Nothobranchius furzeri: one gene and its partners. The protein of the gene in region 3 purifies or fractionates together with the protein of the main gene of each other region. This does not show direct contact. Links are inferred from orthologs where the notes say so. Each region holds a gene or a part of one and is shown on either strand. Other genes may lie near its edges.

The links.
Region 1: the proteins of vdac1 (region 3) and atp5f1c fractionate together in Homo sapiens (co-fractionation; 3 studies listed by BioGRID, with this or other methods). This does not show direct contact. The link is inferred for Nothobranchius furzeri from reciprocal best matches to the Homo sapiens genes VDAC1 and ATP5F1C.
Region 2: the proteins of vdac1 (region 3) and rab2a purify together in Homo sapiens (affinity purification with mass spectrometry; 3 studies listed by BioGRID and IntAct, with this or other methods). This does not show direct contact. The link is inferred for Nothobranchius furzeri from reciprocal best matches to the Homo sapiens genes VDAC1 and RAB2A.

Annotation. Positions count from the first base shown.
Region 1 is NC_091741.1:35,930,766-35,935,129, reverse strand, and holds the start of atp5f1c (ATP synthase subunit gamma, mitochondrial), read right to left. Parts: upstream 2,803-4,364; 5' UTR 2,709-2,802; coding exon 2,668-2,708; intron 2,325-2,667; coding exon 2,290-2,324; intron 1,493-2,289; exon of another isoform or gene 1,263-1,492; intron 696-1,262; exon of another isoform or gene 621-695; intron 51-620; coding exon 1-50. Other genes in the region: kin (DNA/RNA-binding protein KIN17), read left to right, coding at 3,441-3,554, 3,652-3,746, 3,834-3,877, 3,947-4,069.
Region 2 is NC_091751.1:59,004,461-59,008,778, reverse strand, and holds the start of rab2a (ras-related protein Rab-2A), read left to right. Parts: upstream 1-1,429; 5' UTR 1,430-1,602; coding exon 1,603-1,648; intron 1,649-4,318.
Region 3 is NC_091750.1:59,851,087-59,854,737, forward strand, and holds part of vdac1 (non-selective voltage-gated ion channel VDAC1), read right to left. Parts: intron 2,763-3,651; coding exon 2,610-2,762; intron 2,497-2,609; coding exon 2,444-2,496; intron 2,326-2,443; coding exon 2,098-2,325; intron 1,095-2,097; coding exon 944-1,094; intron 219-943; coding exon 161-218; intron 1-160. UniProt on the Homo sapiens protein: Non-selective voltage-gated ion channel that mediates the transport of anions and cations through the mitochondrion outer membrane and plasma membrane.

The DNA of each region.
Region 1 (4,364 bases), on a different chromosome or scaffold from region 3:
GGACTTCGTGATCTTCTGGATGTTCTTGATGGACTTCAACCGAATGGTGACTAAAGAAAATGAGGAAGGAGTTTACAGCAGAAAAGTCTAAAGCTGCAGTTGGTGCATCTCTGCTCGACATAATGGTCTCCAACCAATAAAATAACTCCTAGTTCCGCAGATTTAAACTAATTATCGGATCTGACAACATACTAGAGCTGAAACAACTAATCGATTTAATCGATTATAATCGATTATTAAAATAGTTAACAACTTTTTTAGTCATCGATTAGTTGTTTAATAATCATATTTTACCGCATAAAGTCTATTTTTTACCACAATCTGACATCGGTTACAATCTGTTAAATTTGCCGCCAGTGTGTGGCAGTAATGAGCCACTGATCTACCAGTGGGGCCGTAGAAGAAGAAATTAGCCAATAAGTGCCCTCGGTTTTCATGACGTATCACGTTACTGACGCGCATCTTGCTGTGAGAGATGGCGGATCAACAACAAATACGGAAGAAAAATAGAAGCGACAAAACAAGAGAAACCCCGGACAAAAACCTCACGAGTATGGGAGCACTTCACTAGATGCCTTGAAAAGACCGGTGACCTGCAAAATATGCAAAAACCATGGCACGACGGAAGCACGACGTCCCTAAGTGAACATTTGAGATGAAAACATGTGGGAGCTGATGCAGCAGAGGAAAGTCCGGTAAGTAACAGAAAATAAACAAGCTAACGCAGATCACATTTGGGACTTAGTGTTAGCTGAGTTCGTTATAGTGGATGTTAAACATGTTTTTTTTTTTTTGCCGCGTCAGTCTACGGTGTTCTACTTCTGATTGACTAGATGCAATCGTGAATCTCCTCCGTGTTGTGAATCATGCGCTTGCCAAATTTAGCACGTCTGTTTATAAGAATGTTCTCGTTAAGAGAAAAACGGCACAAACCCATAACTGTGTTCCTCATTCAAAAAAGGACAACTCCGCGGAGAAAAATATACAGACGAGCTGTGTCCAGGTGAATATAACGCGGCATAGTTGTACGCTTTCAATTTTTAAATACAGGAGAAATTCAGAAAGTCCTTTTTTTAACTATTAAAAGGCTGTTTTACTATCTAACGCTGTAAAACGCCTCACAACACATTTTTGTCAAAATAAATGATCACTGTATATTGTTAATTAATTCAAATAATGTAATATTGATTTAGTGTTGTAGTGTGTGTGCTGCTTTATTTTATATGTGTACTTAATTCAGTTTATTTGTGTTTCTTATGCAGAAAAAAAACAAGCAACGATGGACAACTACATGGGGAACAAGACACTCACCCCCAGCAATGCATACCACTTACAAACTCTATTCCAGATTCTACATTATTTTTTATGGAATTTACCTCTTATATTTTGATGCCAAAAAATTATTCTGGACTGATATTTTGCACTGTTTAGCTCATTTTACACTGCTGACTGTGGTCATGTGCAATAAAATAGATTGCAGTCAACTGCACAATTCTCTTATGTTTTTCTTTTTCTTAACTGAAATGTATTCATCACTTGTATAGGTTAAATAGCTTAACAATAACAAACCGATTAATCGATTAATCGAAAAAATAATCGACAGATTAATCGATTATGAAAATAATCGTTAGTTGCAGCCCTACAACATACCTCCATTATTTTTATTATGATTCTACAGCATAGGGTCTAAGAATTTCTCCAAACTCAATCCTGATGGGAGAACCTTGTTTTGCACACTCACTCCGTGACTGGACCGGCAGGTTCTGGTAGCAGCTCTTCTCTGCTTTTATAGCAGCCGTATCTGACCAGCTTTTGCTAATGTGGAAAATCAGTTGATGCCTGCGTGCATTCTTAAATAATTCCTGCATGTGAAAACGACTTTTGATTTAGTTCTGTTCCTTGATAGGCCCGTGCATTTTAATTGACATCTGCATTAATTGTAGTGTAATAAAAATAAAATATCCCATAATTTATATTCACATTAATATACACTGATTTATGCATGTAAAAATAAAAAGGAGCTGTATCATAAATCATAGAACCCCTAAAATTAATATTTGACACATTTATGTTTAATTCTTTTTTTAAATCCTTTGTAAATATACTAATCTGAGCTCCCAATATGCATAAAATCAAGTGTGAACGTCTTACTAACTCGACTTGAACCCACTATTTTGATAAAACCTATTAAAACCTGTGTTGTACAAACACACCTTAGATTCTGCTCAGGTTACAGTCTTAATTTAAACAACAATATGATGTGAGTGTGAAGTATTCATCAGTACTTACTGTCCTTCAAGGTAGCCATGTTCCTGACCTGCCCACTGTAAACAACAATAATGCATGTGAGCAGACGCTGACGGGTTAACAACATGGTAAAAGGTCATTAACAAGTCTAGGGTTATGACCCGATGCTAACTGCTGTTAATTAAACACGATTTAACATTAAACAGGCAGCTATGCTAGCATTAGCACCTAGCCGGCTATGGAAATCCATTCGCACCGCCGTCATTCATCAGCCGCGGCCTACATGCTAGCACGTCCTTCCACGCAAAAGATTGCCCGCGTTACAACGTAGAAGCTGCCCACTCACTTCAAACAAGCCAAATCAATGAATTCATTAATAAAAGCGCAACAAGAGCAGTTGTCGAGGTATATTTGCGTTACCATTGTGGGGAAAAAACCAACGCGCTGGTCCTGGCGAACATGTTACCACTATGAAGGTCAGACACGCAGAACTGCGCAGGCGCAAAGAAAAGTCGGTGGTAACGGAGGTTGCCTTCAGTGAACTCTGGAAATTGTATTCACATCAAAATTCAAGGGAAATGCCGTAAGAAGCCTTTTTTAAATCACTGTTTTTGTGTGTTTTTTTTTTTGTTGCCAGTGTCGCACAATGAGAAGTTCAATAACTTCAATAATAAAAGCGAACATAATTATCAAAAAGCTATGTTCATTTCATTTTCACAAACAGTTATAGAAAGTCATTTGCCTTTTAAACAGGAAAACGTTTAGCCAAGTGAACTAGACCAAATTCATATATACAGGATAGCTTGCCATGCTAGAAAAATGTTTGGAATGTCTAGTAGAAATTAATCCTTGGTCTCAGACTGATTAACCTGTAAAGTTTACATTAATTTAAATTGAATTAATAAATGCTTGTTTTTTGGTGACTCAAATGTGGCGTCTATTGAATCCGATTAATTAATCATACAAATTTCAGTTACAACGAGTTTAAATGATATACGTAATTAATATTATTTAAAAATTACGAACAGTTCTTGAATGTTACACCAAGTATCGCGTGATTCTACGGTTTTTCGCGAGGTTAGAAGACGGAAACGGTTTGTCAGTTGTGTACTAGCAGCAGTTGATTGTTCTGTCGAATTTTTAGCCTTTAAGCGAGTGTTTTTTGCTGCAGTTGTTTGGTTTTAGTTTTCGCCATGGGAAAAGCAGATTTTCTGTCGCCGAAGGCCATTAGCAACCGAATAAAATCTAAAGGTCTCCAGAAGTTGCGGTGGTATTGTCAGATGTGTCAGAAACAGTGTCGAGATGAGGTGGGATTTTGATGAAATTCGACAAAAATGGTGTTATTCTCGATAATGGACGAATTAAAGTATTTGTTTCTGCCTTTTTTATTTATTTGTTTAACAGAATGGCTTCAAGTGCCACTGCATGTCAGAGTCCCATCAGAGACAGCTGCTGCTAGCTTCAGAGAACCCTATGAAGTTCATGGACTACTTCTCAGAGTCAGTTTATCACAGACGTGATGTAAAGACAAACACATCTGAATGTTTTTAGTAAAATGGAGCACATTTGTGTCGCTTCTCTTACAGTGAGTTCAAACGTGACTTCTTGGAGCTGCTCAGAAGGCGTTTCGGTGAGAATTGTGAACCATCTGCAGATGTGTCAGGGACATCTTTGTTCTGATTGTCCTCTTCGTTATCAGGAACCAAGAGAGTTCACAACAACATTGTCTACAACGAGTACATCAGCCACCGGGAGCATGTCCACATGAACTCCACGCAGTGGGAAACTCTCACCGACTTCACCAAATGGCTCGGCAGAGAAGGTAAAACGTCACTGATCAGAAAGCATCTGGGATTTTACAGGATCTCTGTCCACTTTCTGGATTTTTGTCTCCGTTACAGATGCTGTAAAAACAGGCAGAAATGAGGAAAAGAGACCAAGAAGTTGGGATTTGTAAATAAAATTCTCTGAACTGAAAATCAGACGGACAACTTTAAAAATATAGTTCATATTTTCATGATAATTTCTATAATTTGGAGAATATCCTTCAAATGAATATCATAGCCTCCTTTTTATTTAACAGTTTTTCAGTTTATCATTTGTAAAAAAAATTTATT
Region 2 (4,318 bases), on a different chromosome or scaffold from region 3:
GCAAGTTTGGCAGTACAACTGAATAATTCTGTTCATCTTACAGCGCACAAATACTATTCTAGTTTCATATCTATGTTCACAACAGCTTGAAATGGCTAACCTAGCTTAGCTCACACAGACGTTAGCGCCTGCTAACACAGAAATAAGGACAGTGTATGAATCTGGCTGTCAGACCTATAAAACGTTTGAAATGGTCAAAAATAATAGCTGTCTCATTATAACCGGAGTGCAAAGCGTGCAGGTTCAACTTTTACTTACTTCAGAGGAAAGATCGCCAGGACGCTGCGCCATCTTTTCCTGCCGTCTCCCGGGTTTGAATCCTTTTTCCAGTCAGACAACCACTCTGCCATCTAGTGGTCATTTCTTTTAACACATTAAGTTTTCATGGATCATAAACACATATATGTCTAAATAAACAATTTTACATTATTAAAAAGTAAATTTAGGTCTATATTTTATAACTACAGAATCCTGGGTTGTTGTAATTGTATATATGTGTGTGTCTATGGTGTGTGTGTATTTATATATATGTTTAATGTGTGCGTGTGCGTGTGCGTGTGTGTGTTATTTACATGAGTGCTCCAGCCTGCCGGCTTCATATACAATATATGTCCTAGAGCTGGTGAGCAGATTGATTATAAAAGCCAGCAACACAGGAGCTACAACCAGAGGAGTAGCCAACAGAGACTGTAAAACACCAAAATACAAAACATCATTTGGTCAATCCTCGTTCTCATTTAAAGAACCTCAGATCTGGAACAATCTACCATCAACAAAAAAACTGTGACACTTTACAACTTTTAACTCCCAGGCAAAAAAGTGGCTGAAACAAACTCAAACTTGTAAGCACTGATGTTTCTTAGTCAAACTAATTTATCTGCTTTGTGTGTGTGTGTGTGTGTGTGTGTGTGTGTGCGTGCGTGCGTGCGTGCGTGTGTGTGTGCGTGCGTGCGTGCGTGTGTGTGTGTGTGTGTGTGTGTGTGTGTGTGTGTGTGTGTGTGTGTGTGTGTGTGTGAGAGAGAGAGAGAGAGAGAGAGAGAGAGAGAGAGAGAGAGATGACAAATGTTATAAATGATGTTATTTTGATTATATCTAAAAGTCAAACCAAGGACTAGGTTTGCAAATTAGCCTCTGGCTAGAAAACCTCTGTACAAAGCAAAGCAACGGTTGCATTGCCATTACATGCAACAATTGTCTCTTGTGCTGTCCTTGTTCAAGAAAGCAAATAAATAAAATAAAGAATATTTTTGCATGGATTGAACCTATGCGTCAATAGATCAAAATGTACTTTTTTAAGACACAGCGAAATCTGTGCAATGACGACAGAGCCAGTAGTTAGCACTCTAATATTCATTTCCACATCTGTCATTGTAATGAAATACACCTTTGAGTTTTCGAGCTGAACATGAACGCATCATTCTGTAGCGTGGCGGGGGCGGACCGTATGACGTTGAGCCGAGACTCTTGCTGTTTATTGTTCCTTCCTGAGAACCGACACAGAAAAACAGGCTAACGAGCTGTCAGACACTCTTCTTAGACGGTTCGCACTTGGTTTTACGAAGGTGTAACGGTTGAGACAGCTGACTGCAAACCCTAGAGGCCATGGCGTATGCATATCTCTTCAAATACATCATCATCGGGGACACGGGTAAGCTGCAGTTAGCGTTTAGCTAGTATTTAGCTGCTAGCGGCGTATTTCCGCAGTGTTGGATAGTCCAATGACGTGGGAAAAGCAGAGACGCAAGGGGTGGGATGACAGCTCTAATTCTTCCCCAATAAGTTACCTGTTTACTTCAAAAATTCTCACTGGCGGTATCAGAACAGTAAAAGAGGAGTTCAGTCACGATTTTTCCCGTCCACACTATAATGTAGCCGTTGTGGACATACTGTTAGATGTTTTGGCCTTTTGTCCATTGACGTGTAGGGTGGGGGTGTTAGCCTCAGCTTGCTAACCAAACCAGTCAATGTCCACCCAACACCTGTCACGACATCAAATTAACATCCTAATCTGTGTCCATACATACAGGCCTCAAAAGCATGTTTGCGTTATAGAGCCACCCATCGTCAATAACACTGTTACCATTAGCTTAGCTTTAGGCCTAAAGCCTCGGATGTAGCCTGAAATGGCGTAGAAATCTCAGACTTGATCCAATGTCTCCTGTTAACACGACGTTTATATTTTACGAGGCTGTGTGAATTTGTAAGGTGTTGTTTCCTAAACATGTCCAGTGATTAAGAGATAATAGCCTCAATTCACTTTTACTAGGATGCTCTGATGAGGGGCCTGTTGAGTTAACTTGCGGGATGACAGCAGGTGCATTACAAATACCGCTGTTTTATTAAGATGTAGCATCATTGTCAGACTAGCTGACTGGTTTGATGGCAGTAAAGTAAAACAAAAGGGCTCAGGATCATTCACATCAAAGAAATTGGAGATATTCCGTCTAAAGCAGTCAATTTTACTTTTTAATATTTTATATTTTATATATATATATAATAGGGTCTCTAATGACCTTCTGACTCACGGTGATGCAGGGGACTGTTCTGTTCTGGTCCTGCTGGACCTGACTGCAGCCTTTGACACCGTTGACCATCACCTGCTAGTGGAGAGGCTGAGAGACTGGGTAGGCCTATCAGGAACTGCTCTGGAGTGGATCTCCTCTTATCTTTCTGAGCGCTCCTTTTCTGTGGCCGTCTCCAAGTTTAGGTCCTCCACCACCTCTCTTACCCATGGTGTCCCACAAGGTTCTGTGCTTGGGCCTCTGCTCTTCCTCCTCTATCTGCTTCCTCTTTAGCACATCCTGAGCTTCTTCAAAGGAGTCTCCTACCATCTTTATGCAGATGACATCCAACTGTACATCTCCTTTAAGTCCCATGAGATGTCTAAGCTGCAGCTGTTACACACCTGCTTAGACTCTATCAAAACCTGGATATGGGAGCTTTCTACAGCTGAATGAAGATAAGACTGAGATCCTCATCTGTGCCCCAGACAAGCTGGTTCCCAAAGTCAGAGACTCTTCCTTCTTCCATCTCAGGAACATTGCTAAGCTGAGTCCCATTCTGTCCCGATCTGAATTTGAGACAGTTATACACACCTTCATCTCCTCACGCTTAGACTTCTGTAACTCTATTTTCACGTGTCTGAGAAGAACCTCCCTCAACCGTCTGCAGGTGGTTCAGAATGCTTGTGCTCGGCTTCTGACCAAGTCCTCCAAACACACCCACATCACCCCGCTTCTCCTCCAGCTTCACTGGCTGCCAGTCAACTTCAGGGTTCATTTCAAGATCCTGGTTCTGGTCTATAGGGCCTTACATGGACAAGCACCATCGTACATTGGTGATATTCTTAGTCCCTACACCCCCAGCAGGTCCCTGAGGTCCAGTGATCAAAGCCTACTGGTTGTGCAGCGCACCAGGCTAAAGACCAAAGGTGACAGATCATTTGCTGCTGTGGCCCCAGACTCTGGAACTCTCTCCCCCTGAGCCTGAGATCAGTGGACTCAGTGGTCTCCTTTAAAAAGCAGCTGAAGACTCACTTGTTCAAGCTGGCTTTTGTATGACCTTCTTCACCACTCTCTCTTTATTCTGCTCTCCCCACCTATTCCACCTTCCTCAGGATCCACTGATTTCCCTCTTTCCTATTCACTCTCTCTCTTTACATTTTTTTAATCACAATTGTCTATTATTTGCTAATTTTAAATATATTTTTAACCATTTTCTAAATTCTTTTTTATATTTTTACATTTTTTGTTTTTGTGAAGCGCCTCGTGACTTTTATCTTGAGAGACGCTATAGAAATGATACTTTCTTTTTCTTCTTCTTTTTCAATGAGGGCACCGATTAGACCAGTGATTATGTAGAAAATAATAAAATTGTAAAAGTTATACATCTAGAGGGAAGATTTCTCTCCCTGCTTTCTCTCACACAAATGTAAAACCATTGTAGGTCATTAATTAACCCCTTTGGTGGGCTGCATATTTATTACAGGCATCTTGCAAAACAGGATCATGTTGGGGATGTTGTTTATTTCTAGTACTGAATGTTGTGTTGAGCTGTAGCCAGGCTCCTAGCTTGGTTACAAGTATGTTTGTGCCACATACTCTCAGTTCTTATTAGGAGTGTAACGGTACACTAAACTTGTATTCGGTTCAGTTCAGTGTTTTGAAGGGCTCGGCTTGATTAATTTTCGGTACATTATTATTAGATGTATTTATTTATTTAATATCTGAAGCTGCTCCTATAGTGAGCAGAACCAGGTGTCATCACAGGCTGCTAATCTAGCATGATGTATGTAATTATTTCACAGGTTATTTGCGCC
Region 3 (3,651 bases):
GTCAGAAAATTTCTGCAAATCTTCCCTCAACTTCCGGTACTGGAAATAATATCAGTATGATTGTAGCCTAAACTGTCATATAGGTGCATCCCTACAATAAAACATTGATCGGTGTGAACTCAGTGCATTTAGGCGTATTGTCTTTAAATGACCAACTCACCTGGCTTCAGAGTCTGAGTGTAGCCCAGTCCCACAAGGCTGGAGTTGTTCACCTTAGCCTGTGAAAAGATTGATCATTAAAGTAGAGAATCTACTGAAGGCCATGATGGCCTAAAGCCTGGATCCCATAGATGTCACCAAGCAAAGGGCTTCCTCTGACATCATGCTACACCAGGCTTTCAACACTTTATTCCATGAGAACTGCTGGCAATTTTTTTTTATGTTTTTCCACAATGGTGATGACATTTATCACCTAAAAGCTTCTTTTAAAGAATGTTTTGGGCTAAAAACAGATTTTTTATGTAAATGCCAACATTAAATATATTCTAAAGCTTCTTATCTTCTTTCAAAACAGTTAAAAAAATCATCTGTTTGTAAAGAACTTTGATTAAAACGTGAAAGGCTTTAAGAGAGCTACAGCTCTAATTCCTACATTTATTAAAATATTTTCATTAATTTCTATTATTTAGTTGCAATTTGAATTAATACCAGTAAACAGATAAAAACGAATACAACGTCAGTCCAATACGGCCCCAGTAATCAACCAGTCACACTAATGGGCTTGGCTACAAGGGGGATTTACCACTAATGTGATGAACAGGCCAAAATTAGCAAAGGGCTGTTTTACTTGAATGAAGTTGAAGCTTACAGTCGTCTCACCCAGCATGGGACCCAGACACCACTAGACCTACAAACTGTGGTGCACTTTAATTCAACTTGTTAATAGGGTTAGGGGTGGACTGCATCGCCATTGCTACTGCCACTTCAAAGACAGGCTACTCACGGAGAAAGATGCATCGGGATCGATTTGATACTTGGCAGCAATTCCAAAGCGGGTGTTGCTGTTTCCAGCAGTCCAGGCCAGGTTCACAGCTGTCTCCAGCTTTTCATTCACCTTCTGGTAGATGGAACCACCAAACTCTGTGCCATCATTTCTGTGAAACACAGCCGTTTGTGACTAATGTTATTAGATTATGATACAGATATGTTATTTGGAATGATCATGCAAGCTTAAAAAATATATATATGAAGTAGGGATGTGTGTTTTTGAAATTCTGGCGATACGATACATATCACGATACAGGGGAAATTATACGATATATCACGATATATTGCGATACATTCAGTCAAACGTTACAAGCAATTATTTTTACTGAACTTATTGTAAGAATGTTCAATAAACAGTTCAAACTGATACGTAACATGTTTAACATGAGGTATCTAAACCATGATGGAGGGATTTACATTTCAATGGTGGAAACAAAACCCGCTGCACACTGCTGCCAACTAGCAGTTGGCGATTGAATTGCGCAAAACGAAAAGAAAATACACAAATGTTTGCATGTAAATTCTTTCAGGAATTAGATACACGGCTTTTGAATATCGATGTAATAATCGCAGGAAAAAATATCACGATATATTGCCATATCGATATTTCCAATACACTGCTTTTGAATATCGATATAATATTGCTGGGAAAATATCACGATATATTGCCATATCGATATTCTCTTACATCCCTAATATGAAGCTCCAAAATCTTAGAATGTGCATATCGGTCCTGCTTCCATCAGTGATGGCACATCCAACTGAAGTGTTCAGCCTCATGAAAAGCCTACGTTAACCTTTGTCTGACCTCACATTACCGCTTCTGCTGCAGACTGTAACTGACAGGCTTTACCTGGGGGGCACAGCAGGAACAAGCCCCAATCCGTTCCGCTCCCTGTCTGACACCACACCCCTCTGTCCTTTCACAGCAAACCACTTCTATCTCCTATCATCACTATGAAGAGTAAAAAACCCTGGCATTTGACAGAAAGCTGAACGGGCAGCAAGGAGAAACTTCAAACCAAAGTTATAGAAAAGCCTGTATGCAGTTTAAAAATGCATTATGTATTGTGCACACGTGTGCTGGTGGTTGAACATGCTGCATCTTACACATTTGTATGCAGCTGGAACTCATCGGTCTTGTATCCAACAGCAAAGTTGCTCTGGGTGATCTTGTTCCTGCCGGCCTCAAAGGTCGTCTGGTAACCGGCGAGCCAGCCCTCGTAGCATATCACGCCAGCGCCGTGAATGGCTGTACCGTTAATGTCATAGTTGACGTCGCAGCCCAGGTTGATGTGTTCACACTTGTAGCCTGTCTTGAACTTGCCACCTTTCTTGCTGGTGGCATGTTTGGGGTACAAAAGAACAAAAATAAATAAATAATAACTCAACCCTTCATGATAATGTACTTAAAGGATGGATTCGCCGTTAGAATAGTTGTGACTAAAGTCATTACCCAGTATTTGGAGAGAAAGAGGACTCAAACGTAAGCTTCAGCCCTTTAGTCAACTGTCGGACAAACAGGAAATGAAGCCAAAACTGAGAATGTGCCACAGTGTAGACAGAAAAACTATAATACAAATCACTGTTTGGAAACTCCTAATCCATTTTCACCACATCACCTGGTCCTCAACGGTGATCTCCGTCCCCAGAGTGTTGTCCGTGTTCCATTTCTCTGTGAAGGTGAGTCCATGCTCAGACCACTTGTATTTGGTCTCCAACGACCCGCCGACCTTGCTTGTCTCAGTGTTGGCAGAGCATGCGCTGGCAAACTCCTGCAGAACATGATAACCCATCATTCCTGCACAAATACCTACAAGCTCAGTGCTTAAAAAGTCAAAACCTCCTGTTACTGTTTCTCAACCAAAGCATTAAAATAAGATATTAAATTAGCTGGGAATAAAGAAGTTACTAAAAATAAAAAAGGCCAACGCTTTAATTTCAGATGTCTAGAACCACTAATGTGCAATGACATTTTCATTTGACATCAAACGTGCAGTACTAAGATTATACAGACATATTTGTTTTGTTATTTCAAAGGTTTGTAGTTAAAATGCAATTAACCAGTGTTAGGAAAGGTACTTTTAAAAAGTAATTAGTTTTAGTTACTAATTACTTTGTCAAAAAAGTAACTCAGTTACTGAGTTAAGAGATTATAAAAGTAACTAATTACCAAGAAAAATAACTACTTAGTTACTTTTTTCATTAAAGGATGCAAGAAAAATGGGTTAATTGAACTTAATTTACTATAAATTGCTACAATAGTGAAATATAAATGACTAATGACTGGAACATAATAAAATGTATGTCTAAATGTTTTTTATAAACCTGAATAATTTAAATAGGCACTTAACAGGAGGAACTACAAATAGGAACATTACACTTATCTAGACTAATAAAAGGTCACGGTGTGATATTTAACAAGACCCCAATCAGCTAAAATTTAAAATTGCAAATAGAAACACCTGTAAAGGTTCCCAGGCCTTTAAATGGTCTCTCAGTCTAGTTAAATTACAGAAATGAATGTAATTTTGCACAGCATTTTAATTTTTCCAGCTTCACATAATTGTGTGTTTTTAGTAGCATTTCTGTTGCTGCTAATCTAGTAACGGTTAAATAAATAAATAAATAAAATCCTTTAAAATGACACTAGAAGAGGCACAA